4 linked regions of the Oryctolagus cuniculus genome follow. The protein of the gene in region 3 purifies or fractionates together with the protein of the main gene of each other region. This does not show direct contact. Links are inferred from orthologs where the notes say so. Each region holds a gene or a part of one and is shown on either strand. Other genes may lie near its edges.

Evidence for each region.
Region 1: the proteins of LGALS3BP (region 3) and HSP90AB1 purify together in Homo sapiens (affinity purification with mass spectrometry; 3 studies listed by BioGRID and IntAct, with this or other methods). This does not show direct contact. The link is inferred for Oryctolagus cuniculus from reciprocal best matches to the Homo sapiens genes LGALS3BP and HSP90AB1.
Region 2: the proteins of LGALS3BP (region 3) and MYCBP2 purify together in Homo sapiens (co-immunoprecipitation; 3 studies listed by BioGRID and IntAct, counting the BioPlex papers as one, with this or other methods). This does not show direct contact. The link is inferred for Oryctolagus cuniculus from reciprocal best matches to the Homo sapiens genes LGALS3BP and MYCBP2.
Region 4: the proteins of LGALS3BP (region 3) and CUL7 purify together in Homo sapiens (affinity purification with mass spectrometry; 3 studies listed by BioGRID and IntAct, with this or other methods). This does not show direct contact. The link is inferred for Oryctolagus cuniculus from reciprocal best matches to the Homo sapiens genes LGALS3BP and CUL7.

The regions. Positions count from the first base shown.
Region 1 is NC_091436.1:125,879,271-125,883,513, reverse strand, and holds the end of HSP90AB1 (heat shock protein HSP 90-beta), read left to right. Parts: intron 1-41; coding exon 42-201; intron 202-292; coding exon 293-426; intron 427-536; coding exon 537-851; intron 852-1,129; coding exon 1,130-1,295; intron 1,296-1,449; coding exon 1,450-1,640; intron 1,641-1,747; coding exon 1,748-1,895; intron 1,896-1,980; coding exon 1,981-2,249; intron 2,250-2,602; coding exon 2,603-2,936; intron 2,937-3,028; coding exon 3,029-3,138; 3' UTR 3,139-3,186; exon of another isoform or gene 3,187-3,223; 3' UTR 3,224-3,401; downstream 3,402-4,243. Other genes in the region: SLC35B2 (adenosine 3'-phospho 5'-phosphosulfate transporter 1), read right to left, coding at 3,967-4,243. UniProt on the Homo sapiens protein: Molecular chaperone that promotes the maturation, structural maintenance and proper regulation of specific target proteins involved for instance in cell cycle control and signal transduction. Undergoes a functional cycle linked to its ATPase activity.
Region 2 is NC_091440.1:35,418,074-35,422,824, forward strand, and holds part of MYCBP2 (E3 ubiquitin-protein ligase MYCBP2), read left to right. Parts: intron 1-3,816; coding exon 3,817-3,924; intron 3,925-4,507; coding exon 4,508-4,673; intron 4,674-4,751. UniProt on the Homo sapiens protein: Atypical E3 ubiquitin-protein ligase which specifically mediates ubiquitination of threonine and serine residues on target proteins, instead of ubiquitinating lysine residues.
Region 3 is NC_091448.1:2,762,783-2,768,154, forward strand, and holds the start of LGALS3BP (galectin-3-binding protein), read left to right. Parts: upstream 1-2,071; 5' UTR 2,072-2,225; intron 2,226-3,446; 5' UTR 3,447-3,467; coding exon 3,468-3,519; intron 3,520-4,199; coding exon 4,200-4,391; intron 4,392-5,225; coding exon 5,226-5,357; intron 5,358-5,372.
Region 4 is NC_091436.1:126,972,108-126,976,858, forward strand, and holds part of CUL7 (cullin-7), read left to right. Parts: coding exon 1-74; intron 75-212; coding exon 213-713; intron 714-1,143; coding exon 1,144-1,282; intron 1,283-1,371; coding exon 1,372-1,568; intron 1,569-1,832; coding exon 1,833-2,088; intron 2,089-4,056; coding exon 4,057-4,294; intron 4,295-4,375; coding exon 4,376-4,481; intron 4,482-4,751. UniProt on the Homo sapiens protein: Core component of the 3M and Cul7-RING(FBXW8) complexes, which mediate the ubiquitination and subsequent proteasomal degradation of target proteins. Core component of the 3M complex, a complex required to regulate microtubule dynamics and genome integrity.

The DNA of each region.
Region 1 (4,243 bases), on a different chromosome or scaffold from region 3:
CTCTGCAGGACACGAGTCTGACCGTTCCCGCTTCTCTGCAGGCTGGTGCCGACATCTCCATGATCGGGCAGTTCGGCGTCGGTTTCTATTCTGCCTACCTGGTGGCCGAGAAGGTGGTCGTGATCACAAAGCACAACGATGACGAGCAGTATGCCTGGGAGTCTTCTGCTGGGGGCTCCTTCACCGTGCGCGCCGACCACGGTGAGTGGCCGGGAGGCGCTGCTTCACAGGGCGAGTGTGCAGCAGGCGGTCCTGGGGCAGCTCGCTCACCGCCTGCCCTCCTGGTCTGCAGGGGAGCCTATTGGCCGAGGCACCAAGGTGATCCTGCATCTCAAGGAGGACCAGACTGAGTACCTGGAGGAGAGGCGGGTCAAGGAGGTGGTGAAGAAGCACTCGCAGTTCATAGGCTACCCCATCACCCTCTACGTGAGTATGCTTCCCGCGGAGGCAGCCTGCCTGTGCTTCTGGTGGGCTGGGCCATTTGCTTGCCCTGAGGGTCGGTGCTCAAAACTGACGAGTGTTTCTGGGTGCTTTAGTTGGAGAAGGAAAGAGAAAAGGAAATCAGTGATGATGAAGCAGAGGAAGAAAAAGGGGAAGAGAAAAAGGAGGAGGAAGATAAGGAGGACGATGAGAAGCCCAAGATCGAAGATGTGGGCTCCGATGAGGAAGATGACAGCGGCAAGGACAAGAAAAAGAAAACCAAGAAGATCAAGGAGAAGTACATCGATCAGGAAGAACTGAACAAGACCAAGCCCATCTGGACCAGAAACCCTGATGACATCACCCAGGAGGAGTACGGCGAGTTCTACAAGAGCCTCACCAATGACTGGGAGGACCACTTGGCAGTCAAGGTGAGAGGCCTTGGGAGTGGGCCGGGGTGGAGAGGCAGGGGGTAGCCCAGCTGAGAACCGGGAGCATCGCTGATGGCCCTGCCCGAGGACCTGGCTTTCTCTCCTGGTGGAAGTTCAGGATTTTATGCAGCTGGGACCAGCGTAGGTGTGTTTAGGGCATTAGGAATCATGTCGCAAGTGCTTGGGGGACGATAATTCCAGGTTGGAGTCTAGTTGGGACTGAAGGGCACCCTGGGCCTGGCGCGTCCTGCTGGCTTACCTTGGGTCTCCTGTCGCAGCACTTCTCCGTGGAAGGTCAGCTGGAATTCAGGGCTTTGCTTTTCATCCCTCGCCGAGCTCCCTTTGACCTCTTTGAGAACAAGAAGAAGAAGAACAACATTAAGCTGTACGTCCGCCGTGTGTTCATCATGGACAGCTGTGATGAGCTGATCCCAGAGTATCTCAGTGAGTATGGCCTTGGCCCGGTGGCGTTGGAGGGGGCTGCAGGCTTCATCCCAGATAGTGGTCCAGGGAGAAAGCCGGACCTCGTGTGCGCATCCGGGTGGCTCTGTCCAGTCTGGCCTGGTCTTGACCAAGCTGCCGCACTGCCTGGTTGCAGACTTCATCCGTGGCGTGGTCGACTCCGAAGACCTGCCCTTGAACATCTCCCGCGAAATGCTGCAGCAGAGCAAGATCTTGAAAGTCATCCGCAAGAACATCGTGAAGAAGTGCCTCGAGCTCTTCTCCGAGCTGGCGGAAGACAAGGAGAACTACAAGAAGTTCTATGAGGCCTTCTCCAAGAACTTGAAGGTGAGGAGCGAGTGGCTTTCTCCCTTGGGGCACGTTTGGGTACGTGGTAAGTGGGTCGTTCAAAGTTCTAGCCCAGCTGATGGTGGTTTCTCTTCCCGCCCTTAAAGCTTGGCATCCACGAGGACTCCACCAACCGGCGCCGCCTCTCTGAGCTGCTGCGCTACCACACCTCCCAGTCTGGAGACGAGATGACTTCGCTGTCTGAGTACGTCTCTCGCATGAAGGAGACACAGAAGTCCATCTACTACATCACTGGTGCGTGCGCGTCTGGGTCTGAGGCGGGCAGGGGCTGGGCAGGGCAGGGGCATTCGTGTCTGAGTCCCATTGAATGACCTTGCAGGGGAGAGCAAAGAGCAGGTGGCCAACTCGGCTTTCGTGGAGCGCGTGCGGAAGCGGGGCTTCGAGGTGGTGTACATGACAGAGCCGATCGACGAGTACTGCGTGCAGCAACTCAAGGAGTTCGACGGGAAGAGCTTGGTGTCTGTGACCAAAGAGGGCCTGGAGCTGCCTGAGGACGAGGAGGAGAAGAAGAAGATGGAGGAGAGCAAGGCGAAGTTTGAGAACCTCTGCAAGCTCATGAAGGAGATCCTGGATAAGAAGGTTGAGAAGGTGAGCACCTGGGGCTCAGGTGTTCCGCACTCCTTTGGAGGTGCAGCTTTGCGTGCTTGCTGTGTGTGTCAAGATTCAAGGGCAGGGTTGGAGAGGGCACAATGGCTTGGGGTAAGCCAGGCCAAGGAGCCTGGAACTCCAGGTCTCCCTGGGAGGTGGCAGGGGCCGGAGCTCTTGGGCCATCTTCCTAGGCACATTCGTAGGGAGCTGGCTCTGAAGCGGAGCAGCTGGTGATGCCAGTGGCCCTGCAGTGAGTGGTTTTATTCAGGAGTTAGGTGTGAGCTGTCTCTAAGGCTTGGCAAAGATGTAAGGCTGACCTCCACACACACCTGAGGTTTGCTGGCTGTTTGCAGGTGACAATCTCCAATAGGCTCGTGTCTTCGCCCTGCTGCATCGTGACCAGCACCTACGGCTGGACAGCCAACATGGAGCGGATCATGAAGGCCCAGGCACTTCGAGACAACTCTACCATGGGCTACATGATGGCCAAGAAGCACCTGGAGATCAATCCCGACCACCCCATCGTGGAGACGCTGAGGCAGAAGGCCGAGGCGGATAAGAACGACAAGGCAGTCAAGGATCTGGTGGTGCTGCTCTTTGAAACTGCGCTGCTGTCCTCCGGCTTCTCCCTGGAGGATCCCCAGACCCACTCCAACCGCATCTATCGCATGATCAAGCTAGGCCTAGGTATGGAGTGAGCAGTGCCTGGGTTCCGGGTGGGGACACCCTTCCCTCCCTCCGTGCTGTGTGGTTGGAACCTCCTATTTTCTGTTTCCTAGGCATTGATGAGGATGAGGTGGCAGCAGAGGAACCCAGCGCAGCTGTTCCGGAGGAGATCCCCCCTCTCGAGGGAGATGAGGACGCCTCCCGCATGGAAGAAGTAGACTAGGAACTCCTCGGAAACTCCTGCCCTCTGTATAGTGTCCCCGTGGCTCCCACAGCAGCCTTGAGTGGCCCTGTCCCACCTGGCTCCCCTGCTGATGTCTAGTGGTCTCTCTCCTGTCCTGTGTCTTATGGCAGGAAACAAAGGCCTCAAGCCCCATCCCCTCCTTAATTTGACAATGGGGTTGGATGTTGTGTATTGTGGGTTTTTTTTGTTTATTTTGTTCTGAAATTAAAGTATGCAAAATAAAGATGACGCCGTTTTATACAGTTCTGCTCTCCCTTGTAAAGTGGATGCACTGCTTTTGGTGTCCAGCAGTTGTGAGCACAGAGGGCTGTGCTGGTGTTGCTCACCCCAAAGCTAAGGGGGTAGTGGGGGTGCCCACCCTGCAACCCTGTCCTCCCAACCCCTTCAGTCACCTGACACACAGGACTTGTCCACTGCAGCAATTTAATAAAATTATAAAGAGCAAAACGACATTTCCAGAGTACCAAAGCCTGCACTAGCTCACGGAGCCAGCTCCCTCAGCACCCTGTCACCCGCCTTGAAAAGCAGCACTTGGCGCCCCAAACACTTGTGCTGTGCTTTTCCCCACAGTTAAACGCAGGTGTGGGAGGGAAGTCCCCGATGTAGGGGCTAAGCACAGGTGAAGCGCTGGTGACAACAGGTAGGCTCGACACCCCCCCAAGCCCCTCAGGAGGGCTGTCAAACAGGTGACTTAAGGCCAAGGGGAAGTCTGCCTCGGGCTCCCCGCCCGCCAGCTGCACATTTTGCCCTAGAGCCAGTGCCACCAAGTAGAGGAGAGCCTGGGTGGTGGGCGGGGCCCCTCCTGCCTCAAACCTGCTGCACTGGGGCCTCCCCAGGCACCACCTTCTTTCCCCTCTGCTTTAGTCGCCCCCGGGCGTAGACTCTGAGCAGGAGCGCAGCGAAGACCACAGCCACCCCCAGCCCGCCCACCACAGTGACCGTGTGGCCATAGAGGAGGCAGGAGAGGAGGATGGCAAAGGCCTGGCGCAGGGTCATGATGATGGTGAAGACCGCCGCCCCGAACTGGCCGATGGTGTAGAAGATGAAGAGCTGGCCGCAGGCTGAGCACACCGACAGCAGCAAG
Region 2 (4,751 bases), on a different chromosome or scaffold from region 3:
TTGGGACTGGGTTATTTCATTAAGTATGATGTTTTCCATATTCATCCATTTGTTGGAAATCACCAGATTTCACTTTTTTTTTTTTACTGCCATGTAGTATTCCATGGAGTATATATGCCATAATTTCTTTATCCAATCCTCTGTTGACAGGTGTTTAGGTTGATTCCATGTCTTAGCTATTGTGAATTGAGCTGCAGTTAACATGGAGGTGCAGATAGCTCTGTTTTTGCCAATTTCATTTCCCTTGGGTAAATTCCGAGGAGTGGGATGGCTGGGTAGTAGTAGCTTTACCAGATTGCATTCCCATCAACAGTGGATTATGGTACCTTTCCCCCACATCCTCACCAGCATTTGTTGTTTGTTGATTTCTGTATGTGAGCCATTCTAACTGGGGTGAGATGAAACCTCATTGTGGTTTTGATTTGCTTTTCCCTGACAGCTACTGATCCTGAACATTTTTTCATGTGTCTGTTGGCCATTTGGATTTCCTTTTTTGAAAAATGTCTGTTTAAGTCCTTGGCCCATCTCTTTTTTTTTTTAACTTTTATTTAATGAATATAAATTTCCAAAGTACAGCTTATGGATTACAATGGCTCCCCCCCCCCATAACTTCCCTCCCACCCACAACACTCCCCTTTCCCTCTCCCTCCCCCCTTCCATTCACATCAAGATTCATTTTCAGTTCTTTTTATATACAGAAGATCAGTTTAGCATATATTGAGTAAAGATTTCAACAGTTTGCACCCACACAGAAACACAAAGTGAAAAATACTGTTTGAGTACTAGTTATAGCATTAAATCACAATGTACAGCACATTAAGGACAGAGATCCTACATGAGGAATAAGTGCACAGTGATTCCTGTTGTTGACTTAACACTTGGCCCATCTCTTAAGTGGGTTGTTTGTTTTGTTGTTATGGAGTTTTTTATCTCTTTGTAGATTATGGTTATTAATCCTCTATCAGTTGCATAGTTTGCAAATAATTTCTCCCATTCTGTCAGTTGCCTCTTCACTTTTCTGTTTATTCTCAATTTGATGTAATCCCAGTTATTAATTTTGGGTTTGGCTGCCTGTGCCTCTTGGGTCTTTTCCAAGAAGTCTTTGCCTGTGCCAATATCTTGCAGGGTTTCTCTGATGTTCTCTAATAATGGTGTCGTGGATTAGATCTTTAATCTATATTGAGTAGATTTTTGTGTGAGGTGTGAGGTACGGATCTTGCTTCATATTTCTGCATGTGGAAATCCAGTTTTCCCAGCACCATTTGTTGAAGAGACTGTCCTTGCTCCAGGGATTGGTTTTAGCTCCTTGATCAAATATAAGTTGCTTGTAGATGTTTGGATTGATTTCTGGTGTTTCTATTCTGTTCCATTGGTCTATCCATCTGTTTTTGTACCACTACCAGGCTGTTTCAATTATATCTGCCCTGTAGTATGTCTTGAAATCTGGTATTGTGATGCCTCTGGCTTTGTTTATGTTGTATAAAATTGCTTAAGCTATTTAAGGACTCCTATGCTCCATATAGATTTCAGCATTTTTTTCTAGATCTGAGAAGAATGTCTTTGGTATTTTGACTGGTATAGCATTGAATTTGTAAATTGCGTTAGGAAGAATGGACATTTTGATGATACTGATCCTTCTAATCCATGAACATGGAAGATTTTTCTATTGTTTTGTGTCTTTTTCTATTGCTTTCTTTAATGTTTTATAATTCTCATCATAGGCATCTTTTGCATCCTTAGTTTAGTCCAAGGTATTTGAATTTTTGGTAGCTATTGTTAATGGGATTGATCTTAGAATTTCTTTCTCAGCCATGGCTTTGTCTGTGTAAACAAAGGCTGTTGATTTTTGTATATTGATTTTATATCATGCTACTTTACCAAACTTGTCTATGAATTCCAGTAGTCTCTTAGTGGAGTTCTTTGGATCCCCTAAATAAAGAATCATGTTGTCTGCAAATAGGGATAATTTGAATTCTTCCTTCCCAGTTTATATCCCTACGATTACTTTTTCTTGCCTAATGGCTCTGGCTAAAACTCCCAGTACTATATTGAATAGCAGTGGTGAGAGTGGGCATCCCTGTCTGGTACTGGATCTCAGTGGGAATGCTTCCAACTTTTCCCCATTCAATATGATGCTGGCTGTAAGTTTGTCATAAATTGCCTTGATTGTGTTGAGAAGTGTTCCTTCTAAGCCCAATTTGCTTAGATCTTTTATCATGAAAGGGTATTTTATTTTATCAAACACTTTATCTGCATCTATTAAGATAATCGTATGGTTTTTGTTCAGAAGTTTGTTAATGTGTTGTATCACATTGATTTATTTGCAAATGTTGAACCATCCCTGCATACCAAGGAAAAATCCCACTTGGTCTGGGTGGGTGATCTTTCTGATGTGTTAATTGAATCATTTCGCTAAAATTTTGTTGAGGATTTTTGGGTCTATATTCATCAGGGAAATTGGTCTGTAATTCTCTTTCTCTGTTGCATCATTTTCAGGTTTAGGAATTAAGGTGATGCTGGGTTCATAGAAAGAATTTGGACGGATTCCTTCTCTTTCAATTGTTTTGAATAACTTTAGAAAAATTGGATTTAGTTCTTTAATCATCTGGTAGAATCATCCGGTCCTGGGCTCTTCTTTGTTGGGAGCGCCTTTATTACTGATTTAATTTCCATCTTGGTTATGGGTCTGATTAGGTTTTCTGTGTCTTCATGGCTCAATTTAGGTATGTTATATGTGTTCAGGAATCTGTCCATTTCTTCTAGGTCCAAGTTTGTTGGCATACAGCTCTTTGTAGAAACTTCTGATGATTCTTTTATTTCTGTGGTATCTGTCATTACATTTCCTTTTTCATCCCTAATTTTATTGATTTGAGTCTTCTCTCTCCTTTTTTTTTTTTTTTTTTTTGTTAGTTGGGCCAATGGCATGTCAATTTTGTCTGTTTTTTTAAAAAACCAGCTCTTTGTTTTGCTGATCTTTTGTATTTTTTTATTCAATTTTGTTGATTTCTTCTCTAATTTTAATTATTTCTTTTCTCCTTTCACTTTTGGGTTTGGTTTGCTGTCCTTTTTCTAGATCCTTGAGGTGCAATGATGGCTCATTTGTTTGGTGCTTTTCTAATTTCTTGATGTAGGCATCTATTGCTATAAACTTTCCTCTTAACACTGCTTTTGCTGTATCCCATAAGTTTTTGATATGTTGTATTGTCATTGCATTTGTTATCAGAAATTTTTTGATTTCACTTTTGATTGCTTCTATAACCCACTATTCATTCAGGACCATGTAGAGCATATGAAGCAGTTGTGTTTTTTTAAGACCTCTTGGTCTTACTTTCACTACTTCCAATTCATTGCTATGAATCGAACAGGAATTGTCTCCCCAAATTCATGCAGACTTTTAAACTCCAAAATCTCATATTAGCATTTAATGGATTAATTAAGGTAGAGGTTTGATCTTGCTGCAGTGGCTGGGACGTGGGCCCAGTGGGAGGTCCTTAAGTCATAAGGATCTTGGACAATAGTTCTCAAAAGAAAGTTGATTATTTAGACCAAGTTTGGCCCAACTCTCCCTCTGCTTCCTGGCTCCCTATATACATATCTACTATTGCTAGCCTCTACCTGATGCCAGACTAATGGGACCAACCAGTCTTGATCTGTGACCCCTCAACTGTAAGCCAAAATAAACCTTTTCTTTCCCAAGAATCTCTTCTCAGGCGTTTTAGTTAAAATAGCAAAAAGCTGACTAATACACACTTACAGTGTGTCACTCATGTCAGAGTTGTCCTTTCTCTGCTGTCATCTAAATGTTTTCCTCTTTAGGCCTATTTTGGTGGTGAAGCTCGCTGTGATGCTGAAGCTGGACAAGGGGATGACTATGACCCCAGAGAGCTCATTTGTGGTGCCTGCTCTGATGTGTCAAGGGCTCAGGTGAGCAGAACATTTTATTAAAAAGGATAGTATAGAAACATTAAAATTATATTTTTTAATAAATATAAAGCCAGTATTGTGGAAAGTTAAACCAGGTTTTTTCCCATAGTGTTTTCTGATATTTGTAACACATTGTACTATTTTTTAAAATTATTTTATAGATACATTTCCATGGATGGTATTTTCATTTCATAGTTTTGTTTTCTGTGAAATGGTCACCATATTTGAACAAGGAATTAGCGTATGTGTCACATTTTCTCAAGCTTTTTAGGTTTTCTCTTCTTCAAGCAAATCTTCACAGTATATCTGTACAATTGGGAGAGAGATGAAATAGTATTAAATTTTCAACTTGAAAGACCAGGAAATATTCACAAGGAAATTGAGTAGTTGATGGAGATGGGTTCAGAACATGGGGCTTTTTCCAGACAACTTGGGCTTTTGCAGGCTATGTATGCTCCCAAATAGGAACTAATGAGCTATGTATATGACTATCCCAAGTAAAATTGAAATAGTCTCACTGTAATATTGAATCTGTCTCTCTCTCTCTCTCTCTCTTTTTTTTTTTTTTTTTTTTTTTCTATAGATGTGTCCCAAACATGGCACAGACTTTTTGGAATATAAATGTCGCTACTGCTGCTCAGTTGCTGTCTTTTTCTGTTTTGGAACAACACATTTTTGTAATGCTTGTCATGATGATTTTCAAAGAATGACTAGCATTCCTAAGGAAGAACTACCACACTGTCCTGCAGGTATGCTTTTAATATTTTAAAATCAGAATTGTGATCTCTAAGGGTACTTCAAAAAGTTCATGAGAACATGGAATTTAA
Region 3 (5,372 bases):
GGGGGCACAGCCCAGCCACGGGAGCCAAGTGAGCGCTCACGTTTCCCTGTGGCCGTTCCAAGCCCGGGCCGTCGGACACGAAGGTGAAAGGGCGCCCTTCTCAGCGCTGGCACGTGCGCCTCGCTCCACTCCGACGGACGCCTGAGGCTTTCATTCCCGACTCCGTGGGCTCGACCCTGGCTGCCGTGCGGCCCGGGCCCCTCCTCTGGACACTCTTGGCCCAGACTGCGGCTTGCGGTCCCCCCGCGGGGTCTGGGGCAGAGGTCAGGCGCTGCCTGAGCTGGGAAGGCCGTCTCCGTGCCACGCCGTGGCCTGGCTGCTGCTGGGCCGCTCCCTGCACGCCTCTTCCACCGAGACCCCAGGGCAGCCGCCAGCGCGGGAGCGGAGGCGCCGCGGCCCCAGGACCCAGCGTCCCCTGCGGGCCCTGTGACCACCACGCAGCCTGGCTCTGGAGGCCCCAGGGCGGGCCTGTTGTGTTTTGTAAACAATAAAGCCACAGAGGGGAACTGTGTTCTTCCTGCCTCCTGGTCTCCCTTGACTCTTCAGCGGGGTCTGCCCTGGGGAGCACCCAGCCTGGTGGAGTGGGAGGGGCTGGGGACGGGCTGCTCCCCCACGGGACACCTGTCAGGAAGGCCTTGGTCGCACAGGCCTGAGGCGGGAGGAGGCTGGCTCTGGGCACCCTGCAGCTCCGTGTAGAAGTCACTGCTCTGCCGGTCCACTTCCTCCCGCGTGGACCAGAGCGGTCTCAGCTTCCCGCCCGTGGCCCATCCAGGTGGGGGTCGGCGCCTCGCCGCGCGTGTGCCCAGGCCTCGAGGGCGGCTTGGGCGGAGTCTGACCCAAGCCTGCCTGGCGCTTGGCAGAGAGCCTTGGCCTTGGAGACAGAAGTGGCGGTGAGGGGTTCTGCCTCCAGCTGTGGCCGTCCAGGCCTGCGGGCCCCCGGGGGCTCAGATGAACCAAGCAGGGGAACAGCCACGGGTCCCACCCAGCGGCTCCCAGAGCTGCCACGTGCTGACAGGGCCCCTGCCTGCCCCCGCCCCCTGGGAGTGCGTGCAGCTCCAGGTGGTTCTGTTCGGGGCCCTCATCTGGGCCCATGGGACGCAGGAACAGAAGCCAGAGATAGGGGGCCAGCATTTTGGCTCAGCTGGTGAAGCCGCCACCCATGAGGCCGGCATCCCATGTGAGTGCCAGTTCGAGTCCCGGCTGCTCCACTTCTGATCCAGCTCTCTGCTGTGGCCTGGGAAAGCAGTGGAAGATGGCCCAATCCTGGGCCCCTGCACCCGCATAGGATACCGGAGAATGCTCCTGGCTCCTGCTTTAGATCAGCTCAGCTCTGGCCATTGTGGTCGTTTGGGGGAGTGAACCAATAGATGGAAGACCTCTGTCTCTCTCCCTCTCTGTCTCTCCCTCTTTGCCTTTCAAATAAATAAATCTTTTTAAGAAAAGAAACCAGAGGTGATGTTGATCGGGTCACTGGGCCGCTGGGCCCAGGACCTCACACCCAGCGTGGTGGCTCAGGGCGCCATCCCCTGAGAGGACGCTGCTCCCGCTGGGCTGTCTGGGCGCACAGCCCTCCCCGACACCATCCCTGCGGCCAAGGGCGCCCTGGGACCTCGCAGCTGGGGATGGAGGCGGGGGGGGGTGGTGTGTGCTGGGCGGGGCCATTCGTGTTCCCGTTAGGGGAGTGACCGCTCTGCAGTGTGGGTGGTCAGCCCAGCGTGGACAAGGCCAGGCCCTGGTGTCAGGTACTGGGGCAGCTCCAGCTCAGCCACGTGCCGGCCGCTTTCCTGGTCTCCCAGGGCTCAGGGCCCCCTGCCCGACTGCCTGCGGGGGTCAGTGCCCTGCAGCCTGGCGGGGTGTGGGCTGCCCACCCAGCCAGCAACGTGCTGGGCCCAACCCTGCCAGGACACAGCGCTGCCGTCTGCCCCAGGGCCTCTGCTCCGCTGTCCCAGGCTGGCCTTCGTGTTGTGGTCCTGCCCCTCGCTGTAGGTCTTGTTGTCAGAACTTGGGTGGCTGCCATCCCCACCCCCACAGCCAGAGCAGGAAGGAAGAGGGGGCCTGGCCAGCAGAGCTGCAGCCAACCCCAGCGGAGGCTGCAGTCAGGTGGTTTGTGGGAATCGAAAGTCGTCCCTGTTCCCTGGAGCACTTCCTGGGGCCGCCCCTCCACACTGCAGGCTGGGCCTCCAGCAGAGGCGGGAGCCTCCCGCACAGCCACCTGTGCCAGGCAGGTAAGCCCCTGTCTACGCAGGCAGCCAGCGTGGGCCACACTGCAGGCACCGGGCCTGGAGCAGGGCGCCCCGGGCTCCCGAGTCCAGGGACCACCCCCGCCGCGCCTGGGCCCGCAGGGCCTCTGTGTGTGGTTGTTCCCTGCACAGGGACCCGGCCGAGGCAGGAGGGGCCAGCGTTGAGCCCTCAGCCCTGTCTTGGGCCTGCGCGTCCCCGCCCGGGCCTGGCCCCAAGGCCTTGTTCTCACCTGCACGACAGCACCGCACGGAGGGCGGCGGCCACGTGCCAGGGCCTCGCGTGGCCCCCATGTCCGGGGCCCTGACTTCCTGTCCCCAAGGGAACAAAGCCGGCCCTGCAGCTCCCTGGGAAGTGGGGCAGGGACAGCAGGTGGCCCTGGCCCTCCTGCCCGTGAAGGGCGCGCGGAGCCCTTGGCTTCCCTGGACAGCAGCCCCTGCACGGTCGTTGGGGCCAGGACAGCTACTGTGCGAGGGGCCCTGGGTGACCACGTAGTGCGGGCAGCCACGCCGGGCCCCCCACAGACTGCTGCACTGGGTCCCAGCGCTCGCGCAGCAGTGAGGAGCCGGGCCTGCCTGGCGGGTGTCCAGGCCCCCGCTTGTAGCCAGTGCTGCTAGTGGCCACCGCGGGTGTCCCAGAGAAGCAAACGCTGGCTCTGCCGGGGGCAGCAGGGCGGGCGGGGACGGGGGTGGGAGGTGCCCTGGGGAGGACCCCACGGCCTCTCCCAGCCTGTGTGTCCTGGGGACCGGAGCCGAAGTCCACGTCGTCCCCCTCTGGCCTCCCCCCAAGGGGCTCTCAGACACGCCCGTCTCCCACGGAGCTGCAGGGAGAACCCGCCAGGCAGGGACTCCCTCCCCCTCCTCCCCGACCCGAGCCCAGCCTCTCTGGGGCCCGGATTTCACTCCTGTCGGAGCCCCTGCCCTGCCTCTCACCTCCCTTCCCCTCTGCCCGCCTTGGGTGCCTCTGGGGCTCTGCCGCGCCCTGGGCCCCCGGCTGCGCCTCCCCCTCCCTCGCCCCTGCCTCTGGCCCAGGCTCACTCTGCCTGCAGCCCAGGCACAGCCCCCCCCAGGCATCCATGGCACAGGTCGCCTTCTTGTTCATCATGGGGAGATCTCGGGGGGGGGTTGCGGGAGGGGGTCCCTGTGTGCCCCGCAGCGGAGTGGAGGACGGGTCGGGGTGCGGGCTCACGCCGCTTCCTTCTGCTGCAGGGTCAGGGCTCCAGGGAGGCCATGGCCCCCCCACGGCTCTTCTGGGTGTGGCTGCTGCTCGCCGGGACTCGAGGTGAGCTGAGCCCGGGAGGTGCCCAGGGCCGAAGTCCACGCGCCTGCTGCCGCCCTGCCCCGCGGGGTCAGGGTCGGGGTTGGGGTCGGGGTGGGCCCCTCCTCCGGAGAGCTGGGAGGTGCTGGCCAGGTCTCTCCTGCCTCAAGCCAGGCGGTACCCAATGAGGGTGGCTTGTGTCTTCCGGGGACCCCGGGTTCTGGCTTTGGGGGGATGGGGAGGGGACCCAGGAACTCTGTCCCCAGTGGGGATGGGGGCAAGCACATAGGCCGGTGGCGGGGGTGGTCGTGAGGCCAGCAGCCTCTGGACACAGGCCAGGCCTCCAAGGGTCCTGGACACCTCCCTCCCCCTCCCCCTCGCCAGTCCTGGAGCCCATGGACGCCCCTGCTCGGCTGCCCTCGAGGGCCCCCACCCAGTCCTCTCTGGGGTCCTGCCCCTCTTGTCCAGTGCTGGAGAGCACCGGTTCCTCGTCCGTGTCCCTGTCCCTGTCCTCAGCTCCGGCCACGCGGACCAGGGAGACAAGTCAGCCTCGCGGGCTGGGGGCGGGGTCTGCACGGGTGTCACCCAGCCAGGGTGGAGGGCGCTTTGACGTGAGGGACCGGCCAGCCTGACCGGGGAAGCCCTTACAACCGCCGCGCTGCTGGGTGGGCGCCGCGTCCAGCTGACCTTTGCCCTCTCCGCAGGCGAGAAGGACGGGGACATGCGGCTGGCCAACGGGGACGCAGCCAACGAGGGCCGCGTGGAGATCTTCTACAGGGGCCAGTGGGGGACCGTGTGCGACAACCTCTGGGACCTGACGGACGCCAGCGTCGTCTGCCGGGCCCTGGGGTTCCAGAATGCCACCGAGGCTCTGGGCAGAGCCGCCTTCGGGCCAGGTGGGGCTGCCCATGCCCAGCACTGAGACAGGCCCGCTGCAAGGCCTCTGGGCCTGTTCCCTCTGGCCGCTCCGTGCTGGGCCAGTCCCCTCTGGGCCTGATCCTGAACCGTTCCCTCCCGAGGAGAATCTGTGGGCAGGAAGTGCCCGCTCCCCGCTGACTGAGTCTGGAAAAAAAGGGGAAAAACCCAAATTCGCAGCGGCGGGGCCCACAGCGTGAGCCAAGCCCAGGTGTTGGCCGTAAGAGATCCAAACCCACGCTGGACCGGCACCGTGGAATAGCCCGGTCCGAGGCCTGCATACAGGGGACGCACGCTGCAGAGGCGCGGGAACCCCAAAAACCAGCCCCCCGTTTTCTGAAAAGTCTCCTCCAGGGCAGGTGTGTGGGTCCGTGGATCAAGCTGCATCCCAGCCCGAGTGCCGCCCCGCCCCCGTCCAGTCCAGCTTGCAGCAGGTGACGGCCCACGTACCCAGGTTCCTGCCACCCTGTGGGAGACGCAGTGGGCGCTCCTGGCCCTTCGGCCTGGCCCAGTCCCGGCTGTTGCTGCCATTTGGGGAACGAACGGGAGGTTTCTCCATCTCAAATAAATAATACTTGAGCATTTTTTCAAGTGAGCGACAGAGGGAGCTCCCGTTTGCTGGTTCCGTCCCCAAATGCCCGAAATCTCTGGGCCAGGGCTGGAGCCGGAGGCCAGGAGACAATCCAGGCTTCCGTGTGCGTAGCCCGAGCCATCGCTGCTGCCTGCACGGGCTGCGTTGACAAGCAGCTGCCGCCCCGGCCACGGGCCCGGCGCCTGCTCACGCCCCGGCCCTGTCCACTTTGCTGCGCCGACAGGAACAGGCCCCGTGATGCTGGACGAGGTCGTGTGCACAGGGACGGAGTCCTCGCTGGCAGAATGCAGGTCCCTGGGCTGGCTGAAGAGCAACTGCAGGCACGCGCAGGACGCGGGCGTGGTCTGCACCAACGGTGCGTGTGCGCCCT
Region 4 (4,751 bases), on a different chromosome or scaffold from region 3:
CTCTGCTAGCACTGTTTGCACAGGCCACGCTCGCCGAACATCCCATGTCTTTCGAGGGCATTCAGCTGCCACAGGTATCATGTGAGGGCCAGGTGGGGAAGCTGTGGGCAAGATCTGGGGCCTGGGCCTCAGTAGCTGTCTCCAGAGGATGCTACCGAGAGGGGCACTAAAGCCGGGACGAGGCGGGTGTGACCACGAGTTGCATCCCGCAGGTCCCGGGAAGGCTGCTCTTCTCCCTGGTGAAGCACTATCTGCATGTCACCTCCCTCCTGGATCAGCTGAACGACAATGCTGGAGAATCGGGCGCCCAGAACAACTCTGCTCCTGAAGACTTGAGTGGGGACAGGGCTCGGCTGGAGCTGGAGTACAGCATGGCCATGGGTACCCTGATCTCAGAGCTGGTGCAGGCCATGCGCTGGGACCGGGCCTGGAACAGACCAGGGAGCTCTCCACGGTCCCCCTGTTCCATCTTCCAGCCTCAGGTGGCGGATGGGGACCCTCAGCTCCCACCCACCGAGGCTCAGCCCGCCCTCAGGCGGTCAAGGCGGTTTCGCCCTCGCTCTCAGTTTGCAAGCGGCAATACCTACGCCTTGTATGTGCGGGACACGCTGGAGCCGGGGATGCGCGTGCGGATGCTGGATAACTTCGAGGAGATCAGTGCTGGCGATGAGGGCGAGTTCCAGCAGAGCAACAGCGGTGTGCCCCCTGCGCAGGTGGGTGTGCGGTGCCCAGTGATGGGACACTGCTGGGGACCTTCTCGGGATGAGGGAGCTCCAGTGGACTATCCCGGGAGAGAATCCTCAGGAAGACCAAGGTGGTGACAGGCGTCCGCACTGGAGAGGGAGGATGTGGTGTCTGTGTTTAGGAGACGAGACGGCAAGGCTCCCTAAGAGGTCAAGATTAGAGAGATGGGGTGCTTGAGGCCAGGAGGAAGTGTCGGGACAAAGGCCATCAATGAACAGGTGAAAGGAGACCCATCCCCCAAAGGAAAAGGCGTCCTTTGAGTGCATGTATTTGTTCTATGGAGATTTTTCCAAACCTGACCAAGCGGTCACCCTAAGGGCTTAAGTCCTCATCGCTGGATCACACCCGGTCATCCGTGAGCCCTCTTCCCTCTCCCTCTCACTTTCCCCCATCTCGCAGGTATTCTGGGAGTCGACAGGCCGCACCTATTGGGTGCACTGGCACATGCTGGAGATCTTAGGCTTTGAGGAAGACATGGAGGACATGGTTGAAGCTGATGAGTACCAGAGGGCGATGATCAGTGGAGCTCTGGATCGAGGTGAGCTCAGGGAGGAAGCAGGGGTCAGCCCGGAGCCGAGAGGCAGTCTGGGCTGGGTGACATCCTGTGCGCGTGGCCCACTTCCACAGCCCTGCCCTCCTTGCGCTGGAAGCCCATGACCGAGCTCCATGCTGCGCCTTATGTGCCGCCCGAGGATGAGGATGCTGAGGAGAGGGAGCACCTGACCCAGGCTGAGTGGTGGGAGCTCCTCTTCTTCGTCAGGAAGTTGGGCGAGTCTGACCACCAGGATGTTCTGCAGCTCCTCCAGGAGAACCTGGATGGAGAGGTAGAGACCCCTGGAGGCTGGAGGGCTGCACTGCGAGTGCTGCACTGTGATAGAGCATTTGGGAGGCGCAGGGTGGGCAGTGGGGTCTGGAATGTTGGGAGGTGGAAGGAGTGGGTTAGCTTTCTGGGAGGAGCCAGCTGCCAGCCATGAGAGGTTCACAGTGAGGGAGGGGTGTGTATGCAGAGACCCCTGGCCCTGCCAGGTCGCCCTGAAGCCTGGGAGTCCTCAGGGCTGCCTGCAATGACGGCTTTCTCTCCCCGGTAGCATATTCTGGATGACGAGATCCTGGCCGAGCTGGTAGTCCCCATAGAGTTGGCCCAGGACCTGCTGCTGTCTCTGCCACAGAAACTTGATGACAGCGCCCTTAGGGACCTGCTCAACTGCCGTATCTACAGGAAGTATGGGCCCGAAGCCCTGTTAGGGCAAGTGGCCTACGCATCCTCTGTAGAAGCTGAGCGAGATGTCCTGCTGGAAGCCCGGGCCCCGCCCCAGGAATCAGAAGACACAGCTAGAGCTCAAGGTAGATGCAGACAAAGATAGCAGCTGTGCAGATTTGCTTTCGGAGGGCACTGGTGCAGGAGAACTGTCTGTGCTAATAGTTGCGCAGCGCTGTCTGGGCAGGATGGCCTCTTAGAGGGCAGGCATTGTGGTGCAGCAGGTTAAGCTGCTGCTTAGGGAGCCTGCATCCCATGAGTGCCAGTTCAAGTCCTGGCTGCTCCACTTCCAGTCCAGTTCCTTGCTAAAGTGCTTGGGAAGCAGGAGATAGTCCCTCCAAGTATTTGAGTCCCTGCCACCAACAGAGGAGACCTGGATGGAATTCCTGGCTCCTGACTTCTGTTGTGCCCATTTGGGAAGTGTACGAGTGACAGGAGATCTCTGTCTCTCTTGCTCTGGCTGTTGCTTACTGTCACTCTTTGTCTCCACATCACCCCTCCCCACCACACCCCGCCTATCACTCTGCCTTTCAGATAATTAAGTAAATGGATGAATCTAATTTTTTTGAAAAAAGTGGCACTTTAGGAAGAATTTGAAACTTGGAGATCATAACAAATGAAGTAGATGTCTTCCCATCAAAGAATGAAGGAGGATGGAAAGTTAGAAAATTGTAAGAGATGTTTGCAACCTTGAACAAGCCCTCAGGTGGGAATATTTGGTGCAGAGGTTAGGTTACTGTTTAGGATTCCTTCATCTCCTGTTGAAGCACCTGGTTCGAATTCCAGCTACTCCATTTCCGATGCAGCTTCATAGTAATGCATACCCTGGGAGGCAACAAGGGATGGCTGAAGTACCTGGGTGCCTGCTACCCCTCTGGAGAGACTGGATTGAGTTCCAGGCTCCTGGCTGCAGCCTGCCCTAGCTGTTGGCAAGCATTTGGGGAGTGAACCAACAATGGAAGATCTCTCTCTTTGTCTCTCTGCTTTTCAGATAAAATGAAAATAGATAAAAATCAAGAAAAAATTAATTGTTCTTTTGCATTTTTTAAAAAAACATTTATTTATTTGAAAAGCAGAGTTAGAGGGAGAGACAGAGAGATCTTCCATCCAGCAGTAGCCAAAAGCCTCATCTGGGTTTCCCACATGAATACAGGGGCTTAAAAGATTTATTTATTGAGCCGGTGCTATGGTGTAGTGTGTTAAAGCTCTGACCTGCAGTGCCAGCATCCCATGCGGGCACTGGTTTGAGTCCCGGCTGTACTTCTGATTCAGCTCCCTGCTTATGCACCTGGTAAAGCAGCAGAGGATGACCCAAGTGCTTGGGCTCCTACACCCATGTGGGAGACCTGGAAGAAGCTCCTGGCTCCTGGCTTTGGCTGGCCCAGCCCCAGTCGTTGTAGTCATTTGGGGAGTGACCCAGCAAATGGAAGACCTCTGTGTAACTCTACCTTTCAAAAATAAAACAGACTTTAAAAAAAGAAAAAGTTTATTTATTTAGAAGAGTACAAAGAGATCAATCTTCTGTCTGCTGGTTCACTCCTCAAATGGCCACAATGGCTGGAGCAGGGTTGATCCAAAGCCAGGAGCCAGGAGCTTCTTCCGTGTTTCCCACATGGGCGCAGGGGCCCAAGCACTTGGACCATCTACTTCTTTCCCAGCCCATAGCACAGAGCTGGATTGGAAGCAGAGCAGCTGGTCTCAAACCGATGCCTATATGGGATGCTGGCACTGCAGGTGGCAGCTTTACCCACTACACCACAGCGCTGGCCCCTAGCTCCAACTTTTTGTGGCAGAGAAAAACTGTTTGCTTTTAAATCTAAGGACATGGTCTGATGATTGTAAGCAGAGAGCTGCTTAGCTACCTTAAGAATACAGAATATAACATGTTTTAATGACATCTTGTAAGATGAGATCTTCAAGCCTAACTTTTAGGGAGACAAATCAAAAACATTTTTCGGAGAAATGAGAAAACATGATTGAGAGTTGTGACTCAGTCCTTTTGTGATCGCTGTCACTAACAGTGGCCAACCCTTGCGGCTCCTCCTCTCCCGCAGCCAAAGAAGCCCCTTGTAAGAGCCCCGAGTCTCCTCTGCAGCGTCTGGCAGAGGATTGCGGCCCCACTGGGAAAATCCTCCTGGATCTGGAGCAAGCCCTTAGCTCAGAGAGCAGCCGGCAGCATGCGGTCCCACCCTTACTGCTGCAGCTCCAGCGTCAGCCCCAGCCCTTCCTCGCACTGATGGAGAGCCTCGGCACGCCAGCCACCAACAGAGCCCTGCACCTGACTGCTCTGAGGTCAGGGGGTGTGAGAGGCAGGGCTGGGCAGAGGGGTCAGCGTGTGGCTGCCTGCACATCCGTGTCCTCTCAATTCCCCAGAATCCTGAAGCAGCTGGTGGACTTCCCCGACGCACTGCTACTGCCCTGGCATGAGGCTATGAGTGCCTGCATGGCTTGCCTGCGGTCCCCAAACACCGACCGAGAGGTACCCCCACCCTGCTGTGGGATATGCTGGGAGGGAGAACGCCCGGGGCTGCCGCTGGTGAGCCCGACACCCCGGGCAGCGCTGTGGGGGACACGACGGAGCCTTTGTGCTCTTGCATTGAGTTGTGTTTTTAAAATTGAATTTTATTTTTTTAAATAGGTAACACACTCACACGGTTCACAAATCAAAACGATGTAACAAGGTATACATTGAGCGTTCTTGCTCACACCTGCCATCCTTATTGCTAACTGCTTGTGTTAACTTAGGTAC